Sus scrofa: one gene and its partners. The protein of the gene in region 2 purifies or fractionates together with the protein of the main gene of each other region. This does not show direct contact. Links are inferred from orthologs where the notes say so. Each region holds a gene or a part of one and is shown on either strand. Other genes may lie near its edges.

What was found.
Region 1: the proteins of NEK2 (region 2) and ANAPC1 purify together in Homo sapiens (affinity purification with mass spectrometry; 3 studies listed by BioGRID and IntAct, with this or other methods). This does not show direct contact. The link is inferred for Sus scrofa from reciprocal best matches to the Homo sapiens genes NEK2 and ANAPC1.
Region 3: the proteins of NEK2 (region 2) and ANAPC2 purify together in Homo sapiens (affinity purification with mass spectrometry; 4 studies listed by BioGRID and IntAct, with this or other methods). This does not show direct contact. The link is inferred for Sus scrofa from reciprocal best matches to the Homo sapiens genes NEK2 and ANAPC2.
Region 4: the proteins of NEK2 (region 2) and ANAPC7 purify together in Homo sapiens (affinity purification with mass spectrometry; 3 studies listed by BioGRID and IntAct, with this or other methods). This does not show direct contact. The link is inferred for Sus scrofa from reciprocal best matches to the Homo sapiens genes NEK2 and ANAPC7.
Region 5: the proteins of NEK2 (region 2) and ANAPC4 purify together in Homo sapiens (affinity purification with mass spectrometry; 6 studies listed by BioGRID and IntAct, with this or other methods). This does not show direct contact. The link is inferred for Sus scrofa from reciprocal best matches to the Homo sapiens genes NEK2 and ANAPC4.

What each region holds. Positions count from the first base shown.
Region 1 is NC_010445.4:44,569,851-44,575,138, reverse strand, and holds part of ANAPC1 (anaphase-promoting complex subunit 1), read right to left. Parts: intron 4,596-5,288; coding exon 4,504-4,595; intron 3,231-4,503; coding exon 3,096-3,230; intron 2,923-3,095; coding exon 2,840-2,922; intron 1,942-2,839; coding exon 1,863-1,941; intron 1,116-1,862; coding exon 1,041-1,115; intron 1-1,040. UniProt on the Homo sapiens protein: Component of the anaphase promoting complex/cyclosome (APC/C), a cell cycle-regulated E3 ubiquitin ligase that controls progression through mitosis and the G1 phase of the cell cycle.
Region 2 is NC_010451.4:131,556,485-131,562,256, reverse strand, and holds the end of NEK2 (serine/threonine-protein kinase Nek2), read right to left. Parts: intron 3,311-5,772; coding exon of another isoform or gene 3,204-3,310; exon of another isoform or gene 3,203-3,203; intron 2,592-3,202; coding exon 2,365-2,591; 3' UTR 1,730-2,364; downstream 1-1,729. UniProt on the Homo sapiens protein: Protein kinase which is involved in the control of centrosome separation and bipolar spindle formation in mitotic cells and chromatin condensation in meiotic cells.
Region 3 is NW_018084833.1:710,779-716,504, reverse strand, and holds the start of ANAPC2 (anaphase-promoting complex subunit 2), read right to left. Parts: upstream 3,994-5,726; 5' UTR 3,939-3,993; coding exon 3,834-3,938; intron 3,558-3,833; coding exon 2,935-3,557; intron 1,992-2,934; coding exon 1,859-1,991; intron 937-1,858; coding exon 762-936; intron 382-761; coding exon 262-381; intron 24-261; coding exon 1-23. Other genes in the region: SSNA1 (Sjoegren syndrome nuclear autoantigen 1), read left to right, coding at 4,089-4,140, 4,619-4,818, 5,084-5,191. UniProt on the Homo sapiens protein: Together with the RING-H2 protein ANAPC11, constitutes the catalytic component of the anaphase promoting complex/cyclosome (APC/C), a cell cycle-regulated E3 ubiquitin ligase that controls progression through mitosis and the G1 phase of the cell cycle.
Region 4 is NC_010456.5:31,786,404-31,792,219, reverse strand, and holds the start of ANAPC7 (anaphase-promoting complex subunit 7), read left to right. Parts: upstream 1-2,469; 5' UTR 2,470-2,575; coding exon 2,576-2,676; intron 2,677-3,066; exon of another isoform or gene 3,067-3,188; coding exon of another isoform or gene 3,189-3,204; intron 3,205-5,816. UniProt on the Homo sapiens protein: Component of the anaphase promoting complex/cyclosome (APC/C), a cell cycle-regulated E3 ubiquitin ligase that controls progression through mitosis and the G1 phase of the cell cycle.
Region 5 is NC_010450.4:19,299,308-19,305,311, reverse strand, and holds the start of ANAPC4 (anaphase-promoting complex subunit 4), read right to left. Parts: upstream 4,060-6,004; 5' UTR 3,841-4,059; coding exon 3,712-3,840; intron 109-3,711; coding exon 3-108; intron 1-2. UniProt on the Homo sapiens protein: Component of the anaphase promoting complex/cyclosome (APC/C), a cell cycle-regulated E3 ubiquitin ligase that controls progression through mitosis and the G1 phase of the cell cycle.

The DNA of each region.
Region 1 (5,288 bases), on a different chromosome or scaffold from region 2:
CGTGACTCAGTGGTAACGAACCCGACTAGGATCCATGAGGACGCGGGTTCGCTCCCTGGCCTTGCTCAGTGTGTTACAGATATGGCGTTGCTGCGAGCGGGGGTGGAAGTCCAAGATGCAGCTTGGATCCCACGTGGCTATGGCTGTGGCATAGGCCAGCAGCTGAAGCTCTGATTTGACCCCTGGGAACTTCCATATGCTGCAGTTACAGAACCCCTCCCCCCCAAAAAAGATAAAGGTATATATTTTCTAAACGTATGCATATAAGTACACAGAAGTAAAACTTTTAATATTTATTCCTATATTTTCTTTTTTTTTTAAACAGCCACACCTGCAGCACCTGGGAGCTCCCAGGTTAGTGTTCCAACCAGAGCTACAGCTGCTAGCCCATGCCACACCCATTGCAATGTGGGATCCAAGCCATATGCGTGACCCACACGACAGCTTGCAGCAACACCAGATCCTTCGCCCACTGAGGGAGGCCAGGGATCAAACCCGCATCCTTATGGACACTATGTCAGGTTCCCGACCCACTGAGCCACAAGAGGAACTCCTATTCCTATAATTCTTTTTAGAAGACTGTTCAGAAAGCATCAGGATGCTTTCTATAATAAACCAATAAGTATTCAGAAGATGCTTATGATAAAATCTTCTTATGTACTGCAAATCATCAAATCATAAACACCAAGTCCATTAAGTAATTGAAAACACTTATTATATACAATATAAAAAATTATCACAGGGTAAAACAGTACCTTAAATAAATATGTACCTAATTAGGATAAAAATGTCAGAATACTTTTTTAGGGTTCTTTGAGACGTTTAGTTTTTAAAAAAATCACAATTTCTAGGGCTCTGTAACTGAAAAAGGAAAGTATGGTCTGTGCTCAGCACACAATCTTAAAATGAAAGTTCCTATGTTTTCAAGAAAAACATCAATACTGCCTTCAAGAGAAAAAGTACTTTCAGGGTTTTGGAAATCCCACAAGAAATCATAATTTCACGTGATTAAAGATATAATACTTATTATACATACGTACTTGAGGAACATTGCTATCAACCCACTTGGAGTTTGGTAAAATATCATCCCATAAAATCAGGCATCGAGCAAGTGTCTTAAAAATGCAATACAGAAAAATTAGTTACAGCAGATAAAGTTCATAGATTTTGTAACAAAGTCAATATCATAAACAGAACAATTAAGAATTAGTTCTGAACTGATGAACATTTTGAAAAATAAGGTATATAGTATCAACCTAAGCTAACTCATTAAAATAAACTGAAGATTTACATTTTACCACAAAAAGACCCCCTAAAATTGAGTTCGTCATCATCCAAGTTTGGATACCTTGGAAGAAGTTTTTAAAACTTGTTCCATAAAAGAAAAATCATACAGCTCTGTCACCATAATTTAAAGCCTTTCATATGCTAAGTACATTTAACCATCAAGGCAGAGGAAAAATTTGAAGCAATTATGTCAAACAATTTCTGTTACTAATAATGCCTTTAATAGTATGATTGCATCCTTAATAACAAAAGAGTGCAAAATAAAGACGTAATGAAGCCCTAGTCAATTATTGCTTAGTAGGAAGTTTTGAATAATAATGTGAGAAGCTGAAATGTCACTCCAAGTTTTACATATCAATGCGGTTGCCTTTCTTGGCAATTTCTACAGTTATACCGGGGGAATTTCAAAAGAATATTACCAATTTTACACACACACACACACACACACACACACACACACGATGGATCCACAGTAAAATGCTCTCTTAGAGAGACATTTATATTTGCAAGCTAAACTTAAGAATCACAATAGACTCCTCATGTTAACAGAGAGGAAAAATAGCAAAGTATCATACCCTAAGTAAGAGAAATTCTGGCTTCACAAAGTCCAGCAAATACATGGTGTCAGGAGCTCGGAGCCAATCTGCAATGGATCTGTTGGTGGAGGATATCAGTAAACATTATTGCTCAAAAAGAGGGCAAGATAATCAAGAATCCCAAGACAAATTTCAAGAATTTTCTCTCCACTCCAACAACTGCCCTATCTTTTTGCCATAGTATTTTACATTCTCCAATGTAAAATTTATTAGGTATGTAGGTATGCCTTACTATAAGCTTCCTAAGGACAGATATCTTTAGTTTTGTTTCTTCAGTGAAGTATCTCCAGTGCTCAGGAAGCAATGACATATGCCTTTATGAAAACGATGAATAAATCTGGTTTTAACCACCTTGTTAATTTTGCAAATACTCACTTTTTCTAAAAAAGGAATTTACAACTTTGAAAAATTTCTTGACTCTTAGAAAGTTTTTTAAATTAAGACTTTTAGAACATGGTTTACTGTCTGTCTCCTGTCCAACTTACTCTTCTATGCAAAATGTCAAAGAATAAACACCAAAGGTCTACTTTCAGGTGTCAGCACTATTTACTAGGAGTTGGGGAGGCAGAAGGTATGGTCATTAGGCAAGCTCTTGAACTAAGAGCTTAGAAACCACTTTTATGAATGGTAACCAGGAATATAAGAATGTTAAGTATTTCTAATTTAACAAGTCCTCACAACAAACAACCTACAAAATTAATGGAAAGGAATTTGGACATTGTTTGATTGCCAGTGACAACTATAAAACAAAAGTGGCTAGAAACTGGCAACTATACTATCAAATATCATTAAAATAACAAAATGTATGGTTTTTGGATAAAAATCTATATAACTTGCATTTGACAGCACTAAAACCAGGCTGATCTAGCACAGGGGAGATAAACACAGTAAGACTATTTAGTGTTCCTAGTGAGGTCAGAAAAGAAGTCACACCATCACCGCAAGGGATGCAGTACCTGTTGTTGGTTTTTAGGTAGATCATTGCCAAGGCAAGAGTGGCACCCGGACAAGTTACATCCACATTTATGGTATCTCCTTCCTATCGAAAGAAAATCTTATTTGTATAAAAGAGTTCTGAATTATTTTAAATTCTTCTGAATACTAGCCTATGCTTAAAATTAACATGTTTACAAATGTTGACATGAAAACTACTATTTTCATATTAACTTCCTAGCTTCCATAATGTTGATCTGTTGCTTGATCTGGACTTACTTTGATTTGGTAACTTGGAGATTTGTGTTTCTCCCTGTGCATCCCTGCTTGAAAGCGCCGATGGCCTCCAACCATGTACTGATAAAGCTGCTCAGGAACATTGAGATCAGACATGCCTATCAAATTACTACCATGCTGGAAAGCAAAATCACACACATGTGAAAGGAGGTCTTATGGAATGAGATCCGTAACACATACTAATGACAAAGAAAAGAAGAAACTATCTTCAATGCCAGGTACCTGAGGTTTTTTATCAATTAAAATACTTCATTAAAAATCATTATACATATAATGCATATAATTTCATAAAATACACAAAGGTTTCAAAATACAGTTAACTGCATTAAGAGTTAAAAAAATACTAGGTAGGTAAATGAAATCTGAACTATGAATATGTGAATCCTTTCACTACTATGAACTATTCAGGCAATAGTAACTATAATAATAACTTACTGAACACTTAACTCTCTTCCAGGGAAATTCTGGGTGTTTAACATTGATTAACTTACTTAATATAATTCTATTAAACAGTTCAGTTTTAAAGGTGAGAAAAGGGAGGCACAGAGAGATTACACTCAAGGCTACATAATATTAGCATAGGGCTACATAGTTAATGCATATAAAACAAGGCAATTTGGCTCCAGTCTATCAAGTTGCTTAACCAGCAGACATGACTGCAGTTAAATGGCACGACTCACTGGTCATGACCAGAATTCAGGTCCCAATTCCCAGTATGATGCTTTTGCACTGTATCATCTGTCTCTTTAGTTCACGCATCAAATGTGAAGAATCATAAACCTAACAGTCAATTTTCTTTATATAATTCAGTTTCACTGTAACAATGTATTGGCAGTTCTTCAAAGACCTAGATTCTAGCTGACAAACTCATTTAATGAAATGTTTCTGCTAACTCAACACTATGTCTCTTGGATGGGGTTAAAGATGGGTCAGGGTGATTCTGCATTCTGTCACAAAGCAGCTGCAATTGTGGCTAAATTCTGGGGTACTGAGTGAACACCAAGGCTCCAAAAGAAGGTTACGATTTATTTCTAATAATGACTACAGACCCTTAAGGGTTCCCATCATACACACATTTTCACCGTTTTCTGACTGAGTGACTTGTCACTTCTTCATCTTATGTCTTGAGCTCCTTTTGAAAAACGTCATTCCCTTAGTTCATTCATAAACACTTACATCTAAGCCAGGGGAAAGAAACCTTAAAGCCCCACTCTTCACTACAATTTCTCTCCCTTCCCAAACCTGGCACTTTGAGAAATATCCAGAAAAGAAGGAAGAGCTGAGAATCTGGGTAAGTTAAGTCACAATAAGGCAGAGTGGTCTTCAGAGTAAAGTGCCAAGGTTATTGTCTTAAAAGCAGATGTCGTAACTGAAGACAGACTGTGCTCACCCCCAAGCAGACCATGCCCAGGGCCAAGCCAGCCGCTAAAGAGTAGGACTCTCTGTCTGTGCAGTATTCCATTTCAGGACCAGGGGGCCGTCCTATAAAACAGAAAGCAGCACAATTCAAGCTGGCCTCTTAAAATCCTAGTTCATAAAACTTTTAGAATTGACTTTCTAATAAGTCTTCTAAGAACTGTGGATTCAATATAACCCCACTCAGAAAGATCTGATGTTATCCCAAATGGTGTCCACAACTACAGTCTGCTACAAAATAAAGCCCCAAAGTGGTTCTTCTAATTTGCCAATTTTTTTTTTCCATTTCTTGGGCCGCTCCTGTGGCATATGGAGGTTCCCAGGCTAGGGGTCCAATCGGAGCTGTAGCCGCCAGCCTACACCAGAGCTCTACACCACACTCATGGCAACACCAGATCCTTAACCCACTGAGCAAGGCCAGGGATCAAACCTGCAACCTCATGGTTCCTAGTCCGATTCGTTAACCACTGAGCCACGATGGGAACTCCTAATTTGCCAATTTGAAAGCAATGACTTTAAAATACTGCCAAACTTTGGGTTTCATTTTAAAAAAAGAGCAGGAAAAAAATTTTTTTAAGGGGCATGATGCTCAAAAAAAGCTTCAATTTGTAATTTCTTTCCTTTTGTTCTTCTTATTTTCAAATTCATTCATTAGATGTAGTGAAAAAATGTTCAAATACTGATAACAAACAGAAACGACACTTCCTTTAAATTTTTAAGAACGTTAAACATGATGCATCCAGACACTTACTCTGAATC
Region 2 (5,772 bases):
GTCTGATGGGACAATGGGCAGGTGTGGGCTTGAAGCCTCGGCTCAGGCATGGTCCCACCTCCTGCCATCAGCTCCCCAGCCCTGGTGCACTGGGTCCCACACAGCCTCCCCTTCCTGCCCGCACCCCATGACCACTGCCATGCTCTGCTGCCAGAAGGGGCCTGGGCCTGAGCAGGGGAAGGGTTGGGTGCTGGCCCCCAGAAGTATCTCAGGACAGGGTGACAGCGGCTGCCTCCTAATGCCTTTCCCCACTCCTGGGCCTGGCAGCCCTGTAGCGTGGCTGGTGGACAGCTAACTAGAGGCCTTATCTTGGCAGAAGTGATCCAGGTACTCGGATCGAGGTACAAAGAAAGTCCCAGCTTGGAGGGGCAAGATCCTTGGAGTGAGCATCTGCCGGAGTCGGGGCTGTGGGCCGGACTTCTCCTGCCAGACAGTGTGCAGAGCAAGCACCAGAGTCAAGGGCCCCATCACCTGTCACAGGCAGGTGTGTGTGTTCCCCTCTGGCCAGCTTGAGGCGCCCTCCCAGATGAGTCGCAAAATACGAAGTGTATAATCTTGGTGATTCTACAGAGGAGCTAAACGTGCTGCTATTTGCTTTTAAAACTGGCATCGTGCGGTATAAAAGACGAATGGTAAAATTCATGCTAATAATTTAAATTTCATTTTGCTTAGAAGATTTAACAGCAGATAACACAATAAGCAGACACCTTGGAAGAAAGGATAAGGCGCTTCTACGAACCTTTAATGGCACTCGTTTCCTGCTTTTTTAAACAGGGAGCGCCACGCTTTTAGTTTGCCCTGGGACCTGCGAATCACACTGAACACTGACATGGGGTGTAACGCCGGCATACGGCAAAGCCGCGGTCATCAGCCTCTGAGTTTTGATAACATGTCTTTGCTGGAACGACACTGTGTAATAAGCCTGTGATAACGTGGCTAATAAACAGGGGTTTGGGACTGGCGCATGCACACCGTGGTATATGGAATGATTGGCCAATGGGGACCTGCTGTCTAGCACAAGGAACTCTACCCGATATTGTGAGAATCTATACGGGGGGGAAAAAGCCTAAAAAAGAATGGGTGTGTGCATGTACAACTGAGTCACTCTGTTGTACAGCAGCCATGATCACGACGTTGCGAGTCAACTAGACGTCAATAAAGCGTTTCAAAACCAGCTACTAAAGGAGCTGTTCCTGTTTATTAAAACCCTTCAGAACTTGGTCTTCTTTCGATAAAAGGATTAGCATTGCCAGGAAAACATCACATGAAAAATGTGATGGGCACCGCGAGGACTGCTGATTCATATCACAAGTCAGACATATTAAAAAAAATCCACCAAAGCCAAAACAAGTTCCCTTCAAACTCCAGCAAGCTTTAGCTTAGATCAGGGTTCCCACGCGTGGCCCTGTTGGCATTTAGTCCTGGGACTGTCCTGTGCACCACGGGGGGCGGGGGGAGGGGGTTAGCAGCAGTCCCGGCCTCTGCCCACTAGATGCCAGCAGCACCCTCCCTCCAATTGTGACCATTAAAAAAAACTGTCTCCAGATGTTGCAAATATCCCCTGGGGGGGGAAACTGCCCCCAGAAAGAACCACTGGCTTAGTCGGTCAAATGAGATGCAGAGCAAAGTGCCCCCAGCCCTGGGGAGCTAACGTTCTCATGCCTGCCCTCCAAACCTGTGAGCCGTAAACACAGACTCCCTCCAACCAAGAGATGGGCACATGCCAGAGACTAGGAAAACTAAAGAATTCTTTTATTTAGTCAGAAAGAGGTGGCACAGGACATTCACAGAATAAAAAGGGGAAAAGCACACAGACATCACAGAGATGAACTCTTCCACAGAAGGTCACAGATTCACGCCCCAGAGCAACGGGATGTTTACACGCGAGATGCCAGCGTATCAGTGGCCGACCAGGTTTTCTCTAAGCTCAAGAACATTTAAAAACCCAGACTTAAATTTTCACTCTAGACAGGACAGCTGTAAAGCACACCACTCAGTCCTTCAGACTTCACAGTAAGCACTGCTCCTGAGTAAAGATGTTTTCCTACTATCCCCCCCAATTCCCAACACTTAGAATATAACATCGAAGGTTCCAGAAGTAATCACACAGAGGATGAAAAGCCCAGTTGGCCAAGACAGTCATTCTGTCTGTAAAGCCTTCTTAGAAAAAGAAAGACAAATGCACGGGGTGGACGCTGGCACACCTGCCGCCGAGGAACAGCAAAAGCGACCCCGAAACATCAGGCTTCCTACAGAAAACGCACGGTTCACGGCAGCACGCGTGTAGGCCGCGGCAGGGGAATGCCAGCCTCGAAGGGCGGGCAGTGTTAGACCCGGCTCGCCGCTCGCTGTCTCTGGGCCAGGCTAGCGCATGCCCAGGATCTGCCTGCTTTTCAGCTGGTACGTTTTCTCAATGTCTGCCAGGGCCTGCGCCCGCAGCTGAGCAGCATGGAGCCTCCTCTTCAGGTCTTTGCACTTGGATTTGGAGCTGAGCTGACTCTCAGGAGTCTCGCTCCTTGCGACGTTCTCCTTACTCTCCCCGCTGAAGTGAACCTTCTTCTTCATTCCCGAGGTCGGAAGATCAAAACGCTCTTCAGGGAGGAAAAAGAAGAGGGTCTGAGTTACGTGAACAGGAGTTCAACTCCCCCGTACTTGGCAGACTCACCGCAACAGTCACCCTGTCGCTTCACACGTGAACCCCGGGGACCGGCTATTCTCTCTGGAACCAGAGCGTGACAATTCAGCTGAGGAAATACTCAAGATCTAACTGGTTTTACTCAACGATTCATTTTTTTGGTTTTTTTTTTTTTTTTTTTGCCATTTCTAGGGCCGCTCCCACGGCATATGGAGGTTCCCAGGCCAGAGGTCCAATCAGAGCTGTAGCCACCGGCCTACGCCAGAGCCACAGCAACACCAGATCCGAGCCACATCTGCGACCTACACCTCAGCTCACGGCAACACCGGATCTTTAACCCACTGAGCAAGGCCAGGGATCAAACCCACAACCCCATGGTTCCTAGTCGGGCTCGTCAACCACTGAGCCAGATGGGAACTCCTGCTCAACGATTCACGATGCTGGCAGCATCCTACCTACCAGACAGAAAGCCCTGAGGAGCTGTGCAGAATGAAAGACCTTTACGGGCAGAGGGGACGGGATGAGGAAGTCACTCTAGCAGGGAACAGATCTGCGTGGCAAGGTCACCTTAATTCAGTGGACAGCAGGTGTCTACCAGGCAGATGACCTTACTACTGCTGACGAGGTCATGCCAGATTGACTGCTTTAAGATTCCATTCCTGGGAGAGGCAGAACCTGTAATTAAGTTAGGTATTAAGTCTTGGTTTGGTGACATTTGGTGATAACTGACTCCATTTTGGACCTGTTATCTCTTTTGTAACAGGCTAGGGGCATAGGTTTGGCAGAAATCAATCAGGCTTTTAATCTGCAGCCAAAAATCGAGGAGCATATGTTTTATTCTCCTAACACTCAACCTTCCTGTTAAGGTTAAATGCACAGAGGATCACAGTCTCTAGTATGAAACGTCTGGAAAGCAATGTTCTTTATCTCTATTCTTGAAAACAAGTGCCTTTCTGCCTACAACGCATGACTCCCAGGAAAGCATGGACGCAGAAGCTCTTCCTTACAGCAAAGCACCTACAGTTCTGGCGAAATACTTAAGAACACTTAGAGCGGCTTAACTGCCCAGAAACTTGTTTCAAAAAGAACCTAAGCCAGGGTGGCAGGGTAAAAGCAGAGGCAACACAGTAAAAGTTAATCAAGTTAATAGTGAGTGAAGATGTGAATTGTACTTTTAACATTTAAAAAAAAAAAAAAAAAGAAAGAATTTCCTTCAAGTGTCTACACTATTAGGAACTGACAGGTTTGAATTCTAGAACAAAAAGGTTCTTTTTGTTTTTCCTTTGTGTTCATGTAAAGGAAATACGGTCGAATGTTTACTGAGCTCACTGCGTGCCGCTGGGGACCAAACAAAGGCCCTGTTGTGGTGGGAGGAGAGAGACCACAACAAACAAACAGGTGCATGTGAGGAGTCTCCGAGGGGATGTGTGCTCTGGGCGAAAAGGAGACAGATGCAGGGCTGTTTGCAGTCATGCAAAAGACCTCGTAGTAAGACGGCTCCTGAGCAGAGACCTGAGGAGAGGGAGGAAGTAAGAAGCCAGCCGACTACGTGGAGAAGAACATTCCAGGCCAAAGAACAGGAGGCGCCCTGCAGGAGTGGGCCGCACAGAGAAACACTGCCTTCGCCTGCCTGACTTCTACTTCCTACACTGCTTCTCCGCCAGCCTTTCAGGAGATGGCTTTTAGGCCCTAAGTCTATGGTTTCAAACAGATCCACCTTTATGACCTCAAATACCTGAACATTTGTAAACCAACAGTATAAACTGTAAATCTTACTGAGATAGTTTTGTAAGAAAGAAAAGGGTTTAGAAAAAAAGTTAGCATTTCTTTTTTGTTGTTGGCCGCCCTGTGACACATGGAGCTCCCGGCCCAGGGATCAGATCCCAGCCACAGTTGTGACTTAAGCCACAGCTGTGGCAACACCGGATCCTTAACCCACTGTGCAGGGCCGGGGATCGAACCTGGATCCCAGCGCTCCCAAGACACCACCGCTGATGCTGTTCTTGCTACAGCAGGAACTCCTTGAATTAGTATTTCATTAAACGAAACGAATTAGTATTCATTAAATAGACTAAGGAGAGCTTTAGAAAAGATGCTCTTAGTTTATTTGTTTTCCTCGTGTCTGAATTGCAGGACCCAAGGAGGGGAGGAGGACCTTCCCAACTGTCCCGAGTTCATAAGGACACTGCCCCCCACTGCTTTGTTGCTCATCTGGGGCTCGGATGTGCTCAGTACTTTAAAATATCTCCTACCCACAGTGGATGCTCCACCCTACAGCTCATTTTCAGTAATTGCCGCGACTCGCATACAGGTAGGTTCCTCTACCCACGGATCCCACAGAGTGAAACACACCGTCCTTCTTAGCTTTTCACCCTTTGCTCAAAGACGCTCGGGGCAAGATGTCGATAAACTCTATAACTGGAAGATCTGTCCCCAACGGCGCCCTTGATGATTCTTGGCAATGAGCTTGATGCCTTCAACTCACCCAGTTAAAAATCCCCCCTCACTCTATCGATCATGATTTAAGTGTAGTTTGTCTTTATGGATGGCAGTGTGGAATCGAAGAAAAACTGAAATAAGTATAAAAATATTGAAATGTTAAAATAGCAATAATGAGGGAAAAAAAGATATTTACTGCCATCACTAATTTCATTTCTTTCTATCACTTATTACAAAGCATATGTAGATATTAATCAATCGCTTTTTCTTTTATTGGCTGCACCCACGGCACATGGAAGTTCCCGGGCCTGGGACTGAACCCGAGCCGCTGCAATGACAACGCTGGGTCCTTAACCCACTGTGCCACAAGGGAACTTCCCAAGCAATCACACTTGGACGCATACGTTTCAGCTGGAACAAGTCCTCATAAAGATCCCAAATGGATGGCCTTTGCTATCGCTGGTTTATCACACCTTTGAAGCCATACTTTCTAGGAAGGCTGTGTAAGTATTATTTGGTCATGTGCAAGAGGGAAATGCTAGGATTTTCACTGGAAAATGGAGGGAAATGTAGAGTTTTGAGAACATATTCAGAGAAAAATCTGAAACGCACAGCATATTTTTAAAATGACCCAATTTTAAAAAATAAATATCAGATACAGAACACATAGTTTGATAAAGAAAAAAAAAAGCTGAAGA
Region 3 (5,726 bases), on a different chromosome or scaffold from region 2:
GATGATGTCGCAGGTGCTCACGCCTGGCCGGGTGGGGGGACCAAGGTCACAGGAGGGAGACCCAGGTGATGGGCGGGGAGCGGCCCGTGTTCGCCGCCGCCCCCTCCACGTTCCCCTCCCGGGCAGGGGCTACTCTGAGCCAGGAGTGCCCAGGGCCGCCTCTTCACCCCACCCGCCGCAGGCCCCGGGGTTGGGAGCCTGGACCCCTGGCTCCCGGGTCTGGGCCCCGAGATGATGGGCGAGCCGGCAGCCGCGGCGGACCTGGGTGGAGGAGCCGCGTCTCCAGAGCAGCCTTGAGGGACACGAGCAGCTGCTGCCGCTGGTCGGTCCTCTCCAGGCAGTATTTGAGGTCCTCGATGGCCGGCCGGGAGTCTGGGAAGTCTGTGGGAAGAGGCCTGGTCCTGGCACACGCACACGGGCACGCACACACTGTGCACGTAGAAAGACGCTCGGCAGCAGCCCAGAGCGAGCAGCCAGGCCTCTGCGGGCTGCGGCAAGGCGCCTGCTCGGGCCTCGTGCAGCCCTCACGCTTCCTGCGCCCGCACACTTGACCACCGCCACCCCGGGGAGACAAAGTGATGCCCAGAGCCAGCCCAGAGCTGCCCAAAGGGCCTGCCCAGAACAGAGACCAGGCTCCAGACCCCGGGCTGGGGCCAGCTCTGCTCAAGACCCCAAGGCCCAGATCTGCCCCCCACAGCACCCCCTGCCAAGAGCTGAAGAACAGAGGGGCTGGGAAGGTGCCCCGGGCGGGCGGGGCTGACCTCGGATGATGCTGAAGAGCTCCTCGATGCGCAGACCCGCGTAGATGCGGTAGAAGAACCTCTGCACGTGGCAGCGCCAGCGGCGCAGCGTGCTGCCGGCCTCCGCCGACGCGGGCCTGGAGGGGCCTTCCTGCAGGAACACCTTGCCCAGCCAGCCGACCACCCTCTCGATCCACTGGGGGGAGAGCACAGCCGTGGGGTGGGGGGGAATCCCCGAGGCCAGAGCACCCGGAACCCACGCTCACCTCTGCCAACAGTGGCCCTGATGCAGGGCGCCACATCCGGGTGGACAGACACACCCGGCGGGTGACACACCCAGCAAGCCCCCCAGGCAGCGTTTGGCAGGACGTCCCTGAGGGTGGGCAGGTGGGCTGACAGGAGGCGCTGCGGCACGGAGGCCTCGCGTGTCCCCCACCGCTGCCTGGGCGCGGCAGACCTTCCCTGGGGCCTTGGGCTCGCACCAGACCCCACAGCGGGCATGCTCATTTTAAACACCACTGCCACGCGCAGCTCATCCACAGTCAGGAAACCCAGGCCAGGACGCGGGGGAGGGGACAGGGGAAGTGGGAGCAGCGTGGTGGGCCCCAGAGCAGAGCCCTGAACCACGCCCCACAGCCTGGATATCCCGAAGCCCCCTCAGTGGGACACCTCAGGCCCTGGCACTGCCTCCAGCCATGTGATCCTGCACAGACCTCACGGCAACGGCATAGACGCCTCCTCGCTGTCACCGGGGTGGGCACAAAATGGCCAGCCTCCACCCAGCACCAAAACAGCTTCCATCCCCAGCAAAGTGCTAATTCACCCCAGTCTCCACACACTGACCACTTTTCTTTTGTCTCTTTAGGGCCGCACCCGAGGCACACAGAGGTTCCCAGGCTAGAGGTCTAATAAGGGCTACAGCTGCCGGCCTACACCACAGCTCACGACAACGCCAGATCCCTTACCCACTGAGTGAGGCCAGGGATCGAACCCGCAACCTCACAGTTCCTAGTCGGATTCGTTACCCACTGCGCCGCGACGGGAACTCCAGACCAGCCCCTTCTAAGTCCAAGAAACCTCCACCCTAGTCTCCGGGGACAGAGCCCGAGGCGCCTCACCTTGTGGAACTCGCGCAAGAAGGAGCGCTCGTACTCGCCCCGGCAGCGGTCCTCCATCCTCTCCCGGGTCGCCTGGCGCAGGGAGCTGGTCACGGCCTCCGCGCTGACCCGCTCCAGCAGACTGAGCCTGTGTCTGGAGGGGGGTCCTGGCCGTGGAGCCCACAGAGCACACATGCACCCGCCCTCGCCCCGCCTCCCCAGGGCCGCCCTCTCCGGGGCACAGCTGTTCCATGGGCTCAGAGGAAAAGCCGCCAGGAGGACAAAGCACTGGCAAATCCCTGCTGCCCTCCCCTGCGGGCCTCTGCCCAGGCTGGGGCGAGGGCCTCCCCCACGTAATCGCCATGGCTGGCTGCTGGGGCCGAGGACGCCTCTCCTGGAAGGGGCCCTCAGACAACGGCTAAATACAGCACTACTCTGGCCACATACAAATAACTGCAGCTGCCTGAGTCATCGACGCATGTCGTGACTGCGACAGCAAGACTCCCGAGAAGTACAGGTTCTGTGTAATGGGCCACACCTCGGTCCAGCCCAAAGCCTAAAGCTGCACTGCTGCCCCTTCACTGAAAGGAACAAAACTGTCCCAAGTGGCCACTGAGAGCAGAGGGTCCACACGACAAGACCTGGCTGTGACACCAACAAAGTCCTCTCCTTTCAAAGGCCGCAAAAGCAACCTGTTCGCCCAGCCTGTCGGGCTCATCTCCTAACTTGTCTTAAAGACAGAAGAACAGCAAGCCCATCTTTCGCGAGTACAGGCAGGATAAACGTCATTCCCCCACCGCCACCCCGACAGGCTACAGAAGGCACAGCAGAGCGCTGTAGGGCCCAGAAAATTTGGGATCCTGTCGGTCTTAACGGAAGCAACGTGTGAAACCCTGAGCTAGTGTGAGTGACAAACACGCCTGTGACCAGGTGGAAAGGCATAAACTCCCAGCACAATGTTCCCGGAGCCCCTCCTGTGGCCATGTCCCTGACTTCCAGGACAGGTGACAGAGACCGCCCCCAGCCGGCTCGCCAGCTCTCTCCAGAGGAGCAAGCAGGAGCCAGGAGGAACAGGCAACGCAGGTGCAAGTACTCACAGGACTTGGCTGAGGTGGTGGAACTGCTCCAGCGCCTGGCGGCACCAGCACTGTTGCTTGTCACTGCCACACCCGGCGCACAGCGGGCTCTGCAGAAGGCGGTAGTACCGGCGACGGGCGTACCTGCTGTCCAACTCCCCCTCCAGTTCAGGATCTGTGCCCCCTTCCCCTTTTCTCTTACTCTGCATGTATACCCTCAAAAAGCGCCCATAGAGACGCTGGATCATCTCCTGGAAAGGTCTGGGGGTGGAAAAGAACAGGACGCCCCGCACGGTGGTGTGGACCTTTTCGCGAAGGCCCTGGGCACCAGTGCCCATGAGCAAGCCCAGGCGAGTCCACTTCTCCAGGAGCTCTAGACTCCGCAGGTAGGGATCCAGGCGGCTCTCCAGCAGACCGAAAGCATCGAGGAGCAGCAGAAGGCACTGGGGCTCGTCCGCGCAGTTCTCGCGCTGGGAGATGGTATTCCAGAACTCGAGGGCGATGCTGGCCTGCAGGTCATTCTGGAGCACCTCTACGAACCATTCCTCCAGGACCGAGTGCAGTCCGTGGCTCCTGAGAACCTCCACCGCCGCCCGGAGCTCCTCCTCCTTTGGAGGGACCGCGCCGCTGGTCCGGGAGGATGCCTGGATTACAGAAAACTGTGAGTGGAAGGAAACACCACGCAGAGATGGAGAAGACGGTTACTGGCAGGCAAAGGCGGGAAAGGCAGAGAGGAGGGGAGCCCACGGAAACGCCGCTGCGCTTCGTCGCAGGGATGCACGGCCGACTCTCGGAAAGGGCTGTCGAACCAGGAGGGAGTCTGGAGAAAAGCGGCACAGGGACCCGTAGAAACCCGAGGAGAGGCCGCGCAGGGTCCTGGGCACCCCACGCGGGCCCGCCGCCCTCTTCTCGGGCCTCACCAGTCCCAGTGCGGCCGGCGGCACCAGCCCGGTGCTCACGGTATTCCACGCTACCAGCAGCTCCTGGGCAGGCCCGGGGTCGTTCTGCTGCTCCGCCGCCGCCATCTGCGCCCACCAGCTCCCAGAGCCGCCCCGTGTGGCGCGGGGAGATGACGCAGGGCTGGGCGCGCGCGCGCGCGGCGGTGACGTAATCCGGGCCCGCCGGCAGGGATGCGGTAGCGGCGGTTGGAGCGGCCGGGACCCCGGACGGCCACCATGACCCAGCAGGGCGCGGCGCTGCAGAACTACAACAACGAGCTGGTCAAATGTGCGCGGCCGCGCGGCGGGGCTCCCTGGGCTGGCGGGGAGGGCGTGGCGTCGCCGGCCCGCAGGGCCCGGGCGGTGGTCGGCTCGCAGCGCGCGGCCGAGTGTGTTGTACAGTCCGTAAGCGGCTGTTCCTGTCCGGGCGGCGCCAGCGCCGTCGGACCTGCCCGACGCACAGCCCCGGTGTGGGGCCCGCCCCGGGCGCTTGGTATCTGTGGAGCGAGCGAAGGACAAGCGGCTTGAGCACGCACGGCCTCCCAGCCCCGCGCCGAGGGTTCTGGTGCGGTGCCTACTTTAACCCTGAGTCCCCCGGGACGTAAGACACTGGCCTGGCTCGGGCGGAAGGTGGTCCAGCCGGCAGCCGGTCCTCCGCTGCCTTTCTCTCTCCTACCGAGCAGCGGGCTTCAGAGTTGGGGGGTGGGGGGCGGTGCCTTCTTGCCTGCCCTGGGCCCACAGCCCCTGCCCCTCTCGGCCCACCCCAGGCATCGAGGAGCTGTGTCAGAAGCGGGAAGAGTTGTGTCGACAGATCCAGCAGGAGGAGGATGAGAAGCAGCGGCTGCAGAATGAAGTGAGGCAGCTGACCGAGAAGCTGGCCCGAGTCAACGAGAATCTGGCCCGAAAGATCGCCTCTCGTAACGAGTTTGATCGGACCATCGCGGAGACAGAGGCCGCCTACCTCAAGGTGGGACTTGGGGCCTGCATGTTGGGACAAGTCCCAGAAGGGCCCACCGACAGGCAGGCCGAGGGCCCACTGTGGAGTGACAGAGCAGCTGCTAGCGTGGCTTGGACGGTACTTCTTCCTGCGTAACTCCCTAAGACCAGCAGGAGCCAGAGCGACTCTGCAGGGAGCGTAGGGTAGACTCAGGAGGAAAAGGGCCCTGGCAGGGAAGGGCTGTGGGAGCTTCCCAGAGGGGGGATGGTGTAACCACTGGCGTTTCTGCTCCCAGATCCTGGAGAGCTCGCAGACTCTGCTTAGCGTTCTGAAGAGGGAAGCAGGGAACCTGACCAAGGCCACAGCTTCAGAACAGAAGAGCAGTGGAGGCAAGGATAGCTGACAAGGCCGCCGGCAGAGGGGCCCGCCTCCACCGCGCCCACCTAGGGCTTCGCCTCCAGCAAGTCTTCACGGCCTCTTTGTTCTTCACGGCAGCGGCTGCTTTCTCTCCTTGTTCTGGGTGCCGAGAGGCAGCTGCCAGCCACCACTGGCTCTGGGTGACAAGGAAGGCCTCGCTGCAGCCCACCAGCTGGGTGTCCTGGCCCTGTGCTCACACAGGTTCTGGGTCGGTCAGTTCTGCTCGGCCTCTGAGGGCCCCCCCACACCCCTGGGCTGCAGGGAAGACCCCGCTTCTAGTCTCGGCATCATGTCACCCTCACCTTATCACTTGGCCAGCAGGTGCCCAGGCAAGTGGGAAGGGGCCAGGGCCCTCCTTCACCTCAGAGCTGACCCTGGGGCCGTAACGTCAATAAAGGTTGTCTTTGTTAAGATACACGCCACCCTGCCGCCTGTGTCCTGGGTGGGGCTGCTGGCCACCCTAAGCCGGAACACAAACCCCTGCTCAGCTGTAGTGGGGCTCCTCTGTGAGCGGGCGAGGA
Region 4 (5,816 bases), on a different chromosome or scaffold from region 2:
AAAAATAAACACAGTGGGAGGCATAGCCTTCCTAAGATGTCAGACAATACTACAAAGCTATAGTAATCAAAAAACAGACATAGTATTGTCACAAAAACAGACATATGGATCAATGGAACAGAATAGAGAGCCCAGAAGTAAATCCACACAACTATGGTCAATTAGTCTTTGACAAAGAAGGCAAGAATATACAGTGAGGAAGAGTCTCTTTAGCAAGTGGTGTTGGGAAAGTTGGACAGACACATGTAAATCAATGAAGTTAGAACACACCCTCACACCAAACATAAAAATAAACTCAAAATGGCTTAAAGACTTAAATATAAGACACGACACCATAAAACTTCTAGAAGAGAATACAGGCAAAACATTCTCTGGCATGTGTCATACTAATGTTTTCTTAGGTCAGTCTCCCAAGACAAAAGAAATAAAAGCAGAAATAAACAGCAAAAGACACCATAAACAAGCCAAAACACAATCAATGAACCGGGAGAAAATATTTGCAAATGATGTGACCAACAAGGACTTAATCCCTGAAATATACAAATAGCTTATACAGCTCAATAACAAAAAACCAAACAACCCAATTGAAACATGGGCAGAAGACCTAAATAAACATTTCGGCAAAGACGATATACAGATGGCCAATAGGCACATGAAAAAATGCTCACCATTGCTAATTATTAGAGAATGCAAATCAAAACTCATAATGGCCATCATTAAAAAGTCTATAAGAGGAGTTCCCACTGTGGCCACAATGGGGTCATCAGTGTCTTGGGAGCACTGAGATGCAGGTTCGATCCCCAGCCCAGCACAGTGGGTTAGGAATCTGGCATTGCTGCAACTTCAGTTTAGGTTGCAGCTGTGGCTCAGATCTGATCCCTGGCCTGGGAACTACATATGCTGAGGGGTGGCCAAAAAAAGAAAAAAAAAAGGTCTATGGGAGTTCTCACTATGGTGCAATGGGTTAACAATCTCACTGCAGGATATCCTGCTGTGGTGCAGTGGGTTAATGATCTGGCTTGTCTCTGTGGTGTTTCGGGTTTAATCCTTAGCCCCAGGCAGTGGGTTAAGGATCCGGCATTGCTGCAGCTGTGGCACAGGCTGCTGATGTGGCTTGGATTCTGTCCTTGGCCCAGGAACTTTCACTTACCTTGGGTTCAGCCAAAAAACGTTAAACAAACAAACAAAAGACTCTAACTGCAATGGCTCAGGTTGCTATGGAGGCTTAGATTCAATCCCTGGCCTGGGATACTCCATATGCTGCGACAAATGCTGGAGAAAAAGGAACTCTTCTACACTGTTGGTGGGAGTGTAAATAGGTGCAGCCACTATGGAAAATGAAGTATGGAGATTCGTCAAAAAACTAACAATAGAATTGCCTTATGATCCAGCAATCCCACTCTTGGGCATATATCCAGATAAAACTACAGTGCAAAAAGATACAATTACCACTATGTTCATAGCAGCACTATTCACAAGACATGGATGGAAACAATCTAAATGTCCATCAACAGATGAATGGATAAAGAAGATATGGTATGTATACATACATAAAACGGACTACTACCCAACCATAAAAAATAATGAAATAATGCCATTTGCAGCAACATGATGGACCTAGCGATTATTAAGGAAAAGTCAGTCAGAAGAAGAAAGTCAACATCATGTGATATCACTTATATGTGGAATCTAAAATACAACACAAATGAACATATATATGAAACAGACTCAGACATAGACAACAGACTTGTGGTTGCCAAGGGGGAGGGGAGTGAGGGAGGGAAGTATTGGAGGTTTGGGGTTAGCAGATGCAAACTCTTATATGTAGGATAGATTAACAAGCACAGGGAACTGCAGAGCACGGGGAACTGCAGTCAATATCCTGTGATAAACCATAATGGAAAATATGAAAAAGAATGTATGTAAGTACAACTGAATCAAAAGAATGTATGTAAGTACAACTGAATCACTTTGCCGTACAGAAGAAATTAACGGAAATTATAAATCAATTATACTTCAATCAAAAAAGTAAAGCCGCCTGCAGGTGCCCATAACACCTGAGGGGGGGCGTGGCACTTTTTGCCTAGAGCTCCTGTGGCAGCCAGTGCTGCCCCTGGCGCCTGATTGAAATATTTAATTCCAGCTGTTAGGAATTCCTCCCCCACCTACAAATAACTTTTATGATGTTAAACACTTTTTATTAATTTATGAAACACAAATTCCTCTCAGACGCATTTCAATTGAGCATGTATACATTCTGAGGTGTCTTTTGTCTGCAGCCAACTGTAAACCCTCAATAAAGACTGCAGTTCAGAAGGCTGGTGTAACTCTTACTAAAAACAAAAACCCCAAAAACCAAATTGTACCGCTTCACACGAGGCATGGCGGGGAAGGAATTGAGGTTTGTTTGTTTGCTTTTTTTCAGGCATTTCAGTAGCTGCCTATTATCTTGGGGGCGGTGCCTCGTTTGGATCCGATGGACCCCGGCGGGGCCGCCATTTTGGAGTCTTCTCTAAGGAGCGTCTACCGGCTTTAAGCGCTGGTGCCGCCGCTCCCCGCGGCCTGGCTGGGCGGAATGAATGTGATAGACCACGTGCGAGACATGGCGGCCGCGGGGCTGCACTCCAATGTGCGGCTCCTTAGCAGCTTGTTACTCACAATGAGTAATAACAACCCGTGAGTTGAGGCGGGGAGCGGCCTGGGGCTGAGGAGAAAGCGGTGCGGGTTTGGGAGCGGGGGCTGAGGGGTCCGGAGACTGGCGGGAAGAAGCGGCTGCGGGCTTCAGCTGACGTTCCGGGGTCAGCGAGGGTCTCGCTGGGCAGAGCCGACTTAGGAACGCTAGTTGAGTTTACTAGGTCCCAGCGGTAGACCAGGCACTGGGATGAGCTCCCTGTGGGGGATTCGGCGAGCGGCGCTTTCTAGATATGGGAGGCGGAGGCTCTGAGGACGACCCTGGCGAGCGTTCCCCGAAAGTTAGGAGCAGAGGTTTTCTGAGGCACCTGTCGCCGGGCATTGCGCCTGTCACATCGTTGGGCTAACTCCTCCCTTCCCTACCCCTTTTCGAAGGACATTTCTTCGCTCGCCAAGGCTCAAAGAAGCCCAGTTCTAGTTTTAGACTTTCGTCCCACATCTGAGATTGATCTTTCCTTTTGGGTATATCAGCAAGGTTCTCTTAATCGCCCCCGAAAATGGGAGACTTTCTTGGTAAGTGGGAGTGGCGCCTTTTTAAGCAGTGCCTCTTTCTGTTTGCAAAGCTGCCATTTTTAGAGTTTTATTACAGGTACAGCACAGGGCTGTTTCCAGCTTTGAGTGCATATCGTTCCTCTGCTTAAATTTCTCCAAAGTGCTTAAATTAACATTCCTTCCCACGGCCTAGGAGGTCAAATATATAGCTCTCCTGCTCTATCTCACCTACTCTGCCCTCTGTACTTCAGCTTCCCTGTCTATTCTTTCTGTTACTTGAACAGACCAAGCTGGTTCTCAACTCAGGACTTTTGCATTTCCTGTTCTGCTTGGAATCCTTACCTCAGAGCTGCCTCCTCATGTAGGTTTCAGTTCAGATACATCTCTTAGAGAACTCTTCTCTGGCCATTAGAATTGTCCCTTATTCTCACTATTTTATTCCTTTGCTCTGTTTAACATTTTGCGTCTTTTTTTTCCCCCAAACTGAGGTGTAATTGACATATTAGTCTCATGTGGAACATAATGATTGGATATTTGTGTGTTTAGTGTATCTATTACTGCACATAGTTACAGATTTTTATCTTATTTTGCTTTTTTAGGGCTGCACCTGTGGCATAGGGAAATTCCCAGGCTAGGGGTAGAATGAGAGCTGCAGCTGCCAGCCTACACCACAGCCACAGCAACGCAGGATACATAACCCACTGAGCAAGGCCAAGGATAGAACCCACATCCTCATGGACATTAGTCAGGTTCTTAACCTGCTGGACCACAATGGGAACTCTGAATATTTTTTTCTTGGGATGAGAACTCTGTTTTTTTGGCAGCGCCCATGGCATGTCAGGTTACTGGGACAAAGATTGAACCTGCACCACAGCAGTGACACTAGCTGCCGCAGTGACAACACCGCATCCTTGACCTGCTGTGCCATGAGGAAACTCTGTGATAAGAACATTTAAGATCTATAGTCTGCATCACTTTTTTGTGTTACTGGTTTTTTGTTTTGTTTTGTTTGTTTTTTGTCTTTTTGTCTTTTTCTAAGGCTGCACTCATGGCATATGGAGGTTCCCAGGCCAGGGGTCTAATCGGAGCTCAGCCACTGGCCTACGCCACAGCCACAGCAATGCCAGATCTGAGCTGCGTCTGCAACCTATACCACAGCTCACAGCAATGCCAAATCCTGAACCCACTGAGAGAGGCCAGGGATCGAACCCGCAACCTCATGGTTCTTAGTCGGATTCATTAACCACTGAGCCACAATGGGAACTCCTGTTTTGTTTTTGACCTCACCTGCAGCGTGTGGAAGTTCCCAGGCCAGGGATCAAACATGCACCCACAGCTGTGACAACACTGGATCCTTTAACCAGCTAGGCCAACAGGGAACTCCTTTTGTGTCACTCTTTAACATCTAATGAAGTGAGCACAGTGCTTTTGTGCAGCAAGCACTCAGATGTTTATCATTGAATGTGCTGAGGAAGGGCATACAACCTCAGGAAGGTAAAATACCATGTTCAAGTTCACACATTTAATAAGAGGAGGAGCCACAATGTCTGGATTTTGGTCCTCCTGACTTGGAAGTCTCCATTCTGACCCACCGCAGTCTACTGCGTTTAAATGACATTATAATCTTCTACTCAGGATGGACCCATTTACCTTTGGCCTTGCTCTAGATGCTGTCTGAGCCACTTAAAAGTGTGTTGCCACTATTGCTACCTATTTCATTTTCATTAATGTGCTTTTGGACCTCACTATGTGAGACCCATCATTTTACCACTGTCTACTTAGTACAGACAGTGTGGAGCACTGGTCTCTGTTAGCCTTCTTTGTTTATTCTGGAGGCTTTCACCTAGTTCTGGGTGATTTGTCAAAGCATAGTGTCTACCATTTGGAATTTATGCACCAGTTAGTCATTGTTTTGGGTTCTCAAAGATGTTACAAGATAGTTGGAAGGAGTTTGATCCTCTGATTAGACTTAGCCCATTAAGTTAAACTGGCAGTTTACTTCCTAGCTTCAAGAGGTATATAAATTTTTAGAGTTTTCATTTATATTTGAAAATTTCTTTGTTGCCAGCACACACCATTAAAAACAAGGTCCATCTGTAGTTTTCGAGACTGAGAGAAAAAAAAAAAAATCGGAGTTCCCGTCGTGGCGCAGTGGTTAACGAATCCGACTAGGAACCATGAGGCTTCGGGTTCAATCCCTGCCCTTGCTCAGTGGGTTAACGATCCAGTGTTGCCGTGAGCTGTGGTGTAGGTTGCAGACGCGGCTCGGATCCCGCGTTGCTGTGGCTCTGGCGTAGGCCGGTGGCTACAGCTCCGATTCGACCCCTAGCCTGGGAACCTCCATATGCCGCTGGAGCGGCCCAAGAGATGGCAACAATAACAACAACAACAACCAAAAAAAAGACAAAAGACAAAAAAAAAAAAAAAAAAATCAAACAGTATTAAGGGGTATGCAGATAAGTGTCTGACCTTGAGTCTTGAATCTCACTCCATCATTTTCCTTCTTCAGAGGTAACAACTTAGCACTTTTTCATGTATCATTTCAGAGATAACCTATGCATTTATAAGTAGGCATGTATGTTATATAAATATCTGAATGCTTTCTCTGTAGTATTTCTATCAAATCAACTATT
Region 5 (6,004 bases), on a different chromosome or scaffold from region 2:
ACGTTTGCCATCTGGTCTCCAAGCCAGACAGGTCACTTCCTTTCCTGTATTTTCATTTGGTGGAAAACTCCAAACTCGATGAAAACTTGCAAGTCGATGAAGTAAAACCTAAGACAAAACAGATATAATGGCACATAATAAATAATCCATTTCCAAAACTAAAATAATCTTAGATCCCCACTATAGAATTTTTAAAAACTCATATCAAGTATAATATTGAGCTATCAGAAGAAATTAAAAGATAACAATATCTGAAAAACAGGTGAAAAGAGGTCTAATTTAACTCTGTATCCTATACTTTTCCCCACCTTTTACGTCAACAAGAGACTTATTTTTCAGAAAGCAATATGAAGATATCCAACAAGATGACAAAAAAAGAAATAAAGGACACAAACGGAACGGGAAAGGTGGCTGTATATAATTAAATAACACTAAACTTGGAATCACACAACAGTTTCAGCTGTGTCACTTACTGGCCATGGGCTCAGACAAGTCACTTAGCCATTCCATTTACACACAGGAAAATGCCCACCTCGGAGGGCCAAGAGAATGCCCTGGAGCACCTTGTGCTAAAATAAAAGTGGTCCCTACTCCATCCTCTCTACAGCCATTGGGAATAAAGACAAAAAAAGCCTTAGAACTGCAGGTGCTCCTAAAGGCCCGCCCCCCCCAACTCACACACACCCCTTAATTCCCACCCCCACAGCTAACCTCAGAGCACCCTGCACGCCTGTTCCAGGTTACAGGGAATCCAGAACTCCCAAGGAACGGTTCAGCCCCCAGACTCAATGCTCTTTTCCGAGCCCACCTCTGCTTTTCCTTACTTCTGAAACCCTTGCTGTGTGCCCTCTGGAATTCACAGTCAGGAATCAGGACCTTCCTTCTCCTCCCTGAAAGGTGCTTCTCACCTGAAAACGCTGCCTCCCTACAGGCTTCTCAGGTGGTGGCTGCTCTGCATGGCCGTGCTACGACTGGGCCAGAAGATTAAAAACTTACAAAAAGTTCTCTAATTTTACTTATTTTAAGTTCTCGAATTTTACACATTTTTTAAAGTAAAAGATGAATAAGATCTGAGCAAAATCAGTACAGACAAAAATAGCTGTTATCTGTAATCGATATGTTTTCAGGGCATTTTTACATACTTCTTATATTGTTTATAAAAACAATTTGTTCTTTGCTTTTGTTTTTCGTAAAGCACCACTGATACAGATGACCTTTAAGCTGTAAGACTTAGAGCATTTTCCTGTACAAGGACTGTCCCTGTAACAACACATGGAAGAGGGGAGTTCAGTCCTCAGGGCTATAGCATAACACACTTGGGTGCCTTTACCAGATGGTGGACCATACCACCTGCTATCCTTCTTAGCTACAGTCATCTACAGACCCCTAGGCCACACACCGCCCCCCCCCCCCCATTCCTGGGAGGTCTTCTCTCTCTTTTTTTAACTTTATGGCCTCATCTGCAGCATATGAAAGTTCAGGGGCCAGGGACTGAATCTGAACCATAGCTGCAACCTACGCCACAGCCGCAGCAATGCTGGATCATTTAACCCATTGTGCCAGGCCAGGGATCAAACCCCTATCTCTGCAGGGACTGGAGCTACTGCAGTCAGATTTTTTTTTTTTTTCCTTATGGCCGCACCAATAGCACATGGACATTCCCAGGCCAGGGGCTGAATCAGAGCTGCAGCTGCCGCCTATGTCACAGCAACAGTCACACCAGATATGAGCCACATCTGCAACCTACAATACATCTTGCAGCAACACTAGATCCTTATCCCACTGAGCAAGGTCAGGGATCTAACAGCATCCTCATGGATACTAGCAGGGTTTGTAACCCACTGAGCCACAACGGGAACTCCCTGAAGTTGGATTCTTAACCCACTGTGCCAGAGCAGGGAATTTTTCTCACTTTAAAAATCCTCTAACTTTGAGTCACATGCAATCAGACCATACCACCTGCTATCCTTCTTAGCTGCAGTCATCTACAGACCCCTAGGCCACCCCCCCCGCCGCCCCATTCCTGGGAGGTTCGGACTCCTGTCTGGCTCACACATGGTTTCCAATACCACTCGTGGTCATTCCTGGTGATTTCAAGAGCTGCAATGTCCTGGTTTTTTGGTTCTCAACTACCTCTCCGTCAATGATCACATCTTCTACCTCACCTCAGTCACTCAGTCACTTCCAGGGTCATGCCTGTGACCTTATTATTACCAACAACTACAAATGCTGCCATAATCTTCGGTTCCAAAGCTCCCACTTTCCAAAACTGCCTGTATCTTTCCTATTCGTTCCTATTAATATCCAACATCAATTCTTCAGCTTCAGCAAGACATCCAATCCATTGATTCTACCACCTCTTCAGTGTCCCTCACCCCACACACGCCTTCCCTTCCCTACTCCATCGGGTCAGAATTCAAACTTCATCATCCCAATCATCCCTCTTGCATGTAACTTCAGCTCCCTTGCATCCCTCTTGCTTTGTCACACTGTCACAACAATCCAGGTTAAATCCAATCATGCCTGCGCCCACACAGCTGAATGGAATAGAAGAGACATACATACAACCCAGCGCACTAGTTTCCATCAAACTGCAAAACCACTAACCTCATGTGGCTCCTGATGCTGATCAACAATCCCATTAGATTTTACTAGTCTACTTGTCAGTTTTTCACTGCCTCTCTTTTCTCAAGCTTCCAATACTTTCTTCTCCCATCTTCTTCCTAAACAGCACTCCTTCTTCTTCACTGAGAAAACGGAAGCAACAAGTGACCACAATTACATCCATGTGATCACACTGATGCCCCAATTCTCTCCCTTCCTTCCTGCTACTATAGCTGTACTATCTCGCACTCCTCTCTAGAGTCCCGGAGCGCCAAAGCATCCTGGCAGGGGTGGGAGGCTAGAAGGGTTCATAGACGGCCTTGAGAAAGCCCCTGGCAACAATGTCCTGACAGTCAACATAGCTTTGAAGGCTGCTAAGTTTTCCTGGCAGATATATTCTCTTCACCACTTCATTTCCAAACTTGGCTGCACATAACACAACTCTCATCTGGCCAGATAACCAGGAAACCTGCCAAAAGGTCAAAGGAGTAAAGATGCACGGGTGAGGGTTTCCTTACAATACGGCTGCCAGGTAACGATGAACTCTCAGCAGAAAGGTGGGTACAACTGGGTCACACTGGATGAAATGCAATATCATGTGAACTAGAAATGCTAACTGACAACACTCCTGCACATTCCATCAGGAATCCAGGGAAGCATGGGTTTAACTTCAAAGTGTTTTTAATGGGAGGTAGCTATCCAACCTATACTGTAAAACTTGTACAATGAAATATAGATTCTTAATATAACCTCTGTGGCAGCTCTCTATATATGCATGGTCATTCGCAGCTGAAGCTTGACAATAGGTCATTTTTCTTCGGTCTAAACTGCAAGTAAACTATGGGCAGAATCTGTGGACCCGCTACCATGTCTAGATCATGAACGACACATCGTGAGTCTTTAAAAAGCCTATTTAACACATAAATGACTAAAAGAGAATTGGGGATGCAGGGCTGTCTGACTGTGTCAAGCTGTGTGGAAACTTGTTTGGCCCATAAAATGCAGGAAATGGGCATATAAATGACCTGCCCCACATCCAGTCCCTTAGTTTTCAGCAGGTCTGGAAGGAAGGGGCGGGGTGGACAGGTGGCACGCCGGCTCACTCACCTCGCCTGCCGTGTTAGCCAAAGCAATGAGATCCCGCTTGGGTGACCAGACCAGGAAAATGATCTCTTGTGGCAGCTGCTTCTCTCCCACCACCCGGAAGGACGGGAAACATGTCGCGAAACGCAACATGGGGGCGGCCCTGCAAGGACACCCCACTCGGAAGGCAGCAGGGACCCCCTCCGCGGCCGGCCTGGTGCCTGTGGCACCTCGGTCCCCGGCCCTTCCTGCAGAGCCCCAAATGCGGCGGTACCCGAGAGATGCCCCACCGCAGGGAAGGCACCCTCTCCCTCCCTCCCGCCCCGCGCCAGCCGCGCGCCGCAGCTTCCCCGCCGCCCGGCGCGCGCGCTCCGGGCACTTCCGGGTCCCGGATTTCCTCGCGAGAGCTCGAGAGCGGTCTCCAGCCGCTGGAGCCACTTTGACGGCCTCCAATGCAGCGGTGCTCAGTCCTGGTTGCTCAATAGAATCACTTCGGTTTTGTTGTTGTTGTTTTTTTAAACCCTTACCCGGGCAGCACTTCAGGCCGATTAAAATATGGGCTTGGACCCTATTTATGAAAACGCTCTAGGTGCTTCCAGAGCCCTGCTCTTAAACCTGACATAAATATCTTGATTCTGAATCCCGTTTAAGCCTCACAACTTATTGGTAGTAGTGGCCCTATCTTCATACATGAGGACTGCGGGCTCCCCAAGATTTGTCCCACAGCTATTGCAGCATCTGCTGTATGAAGGCGTCTGGGCCACAAAAATGCACGGGACATGGGGTCTCCCCCTCAAAGGCTCACAGGTCAGCCTGGCAGGACGCGTAAATCAGAACCTATCTGGTGCTTCTTGTTACAGACACATTTAAATATGTTAACTTGTTAAAAAGTTCCCACAAGTTATGAACCTGGCTAAGAGGATGTGACAGTACCACCCTGCGATGCTTGAACTTAAAATCTGTGGTACAAAGCCAGCTACCTTTCACTCCTTTTGCTTGTTCAAAGAAAGCAGCAGGATTTCAGTTTTGAACGAGCCCCATCTTCCTCCCCTCTCTATGGATCTAGCCCTGGGAAACAGATGACAGAGGTAGACGAATTCATTCAGCAACAAGTGTCCGAGGCACTTTTTTGTGCCAGGCACTGTGCGTAACTCTTGATGCTTGCCCTGCTCCCTTTCGGAGACGGCCTTTTGTCCTTGCTTTTGCTGCAGTTTAGCATGTTCCCCCCAATTCTACCAGAGGCCATATTCTAATGGGGAGAATGGACTTGCCTTTGTTCTTCATGAAATGCATTTTCAGATATTGTTTAATGTTCTGGGATGGTGTGTGGTTGTTAGCAGAACTGACACCGCCTCGGGTCCGTACAGTTCCTCCTGTCTTTCCACTGACCCTACGCAAGCCTGTAATGTGTGGTAAATCACTTCTTTTTGTTGTTAAGGGCTTTGTAGTTGATACTGTTTAATAACCTTGAGGACCAGGTGGCCTCTATGCTCTGTTAGTCCCCAAACAATGATGAAGACCTGTCCTGACTATTCCTGGCACACACAAGGCTGGTTCTCCATTCATAAATCTTAACTTAGGAACGTACTTCCTATTTCTCTAGGTGAACTAAAAAATGGTCCCAGTGACCCCTCAGCAGTGCTGGCTTCCCACGCAGTCACTGAAAGACTTCCTCATTCAGAGGAGAAGACACCGGATGTCACCCTTCTAGTCTGCAAGGGTACCAAGCACCGCAATAGCATGAAACTCTTGTGACTGTCCAGCTGATAAAACTCGCCCCTCATCTCTCTGAGATCTGCTTGCTCACTTTTGATGCCTTTTCTCCTTGCAGCCTTGATGAGGTACATTTATACACAATCTCCTGAAATCAAATGGCAGAGATCTTATCTTCTCTTTATTGCAATGACCTTCCAGCTGACCCTCAAGTAATTTAACTTATGTCCTAATGTTCCAATTCAAATCGCATCAAATGAGCTGGATTTTCCTGTGCATTTTGTTTAAGCTTTCCTTCCTTGGGCAGTTCTATCAGCATCATATTATCATGTAGCACACAGTTGGGTTTGGAAGCATAAGTGACCGTTTCCATTCACTTGATGCTTTTACTGGGAAGGTGAGGAAAGGTGTTAGTCTGAGCACCTGCTTCCCAGGGTTGTGGGAGGAGGATTGAGGCCATGCATACTGCAGCTGGTCTGATATCACCGTGGGCAGGACACAGCTCTATGAGCCAGTGAACACTCACAATGATGTCCACAGGTCCTGCCATCAACTGGCTGCTAACCTACACAGGAAAATGGGCACAAAGAGTTGTGCTAATGCA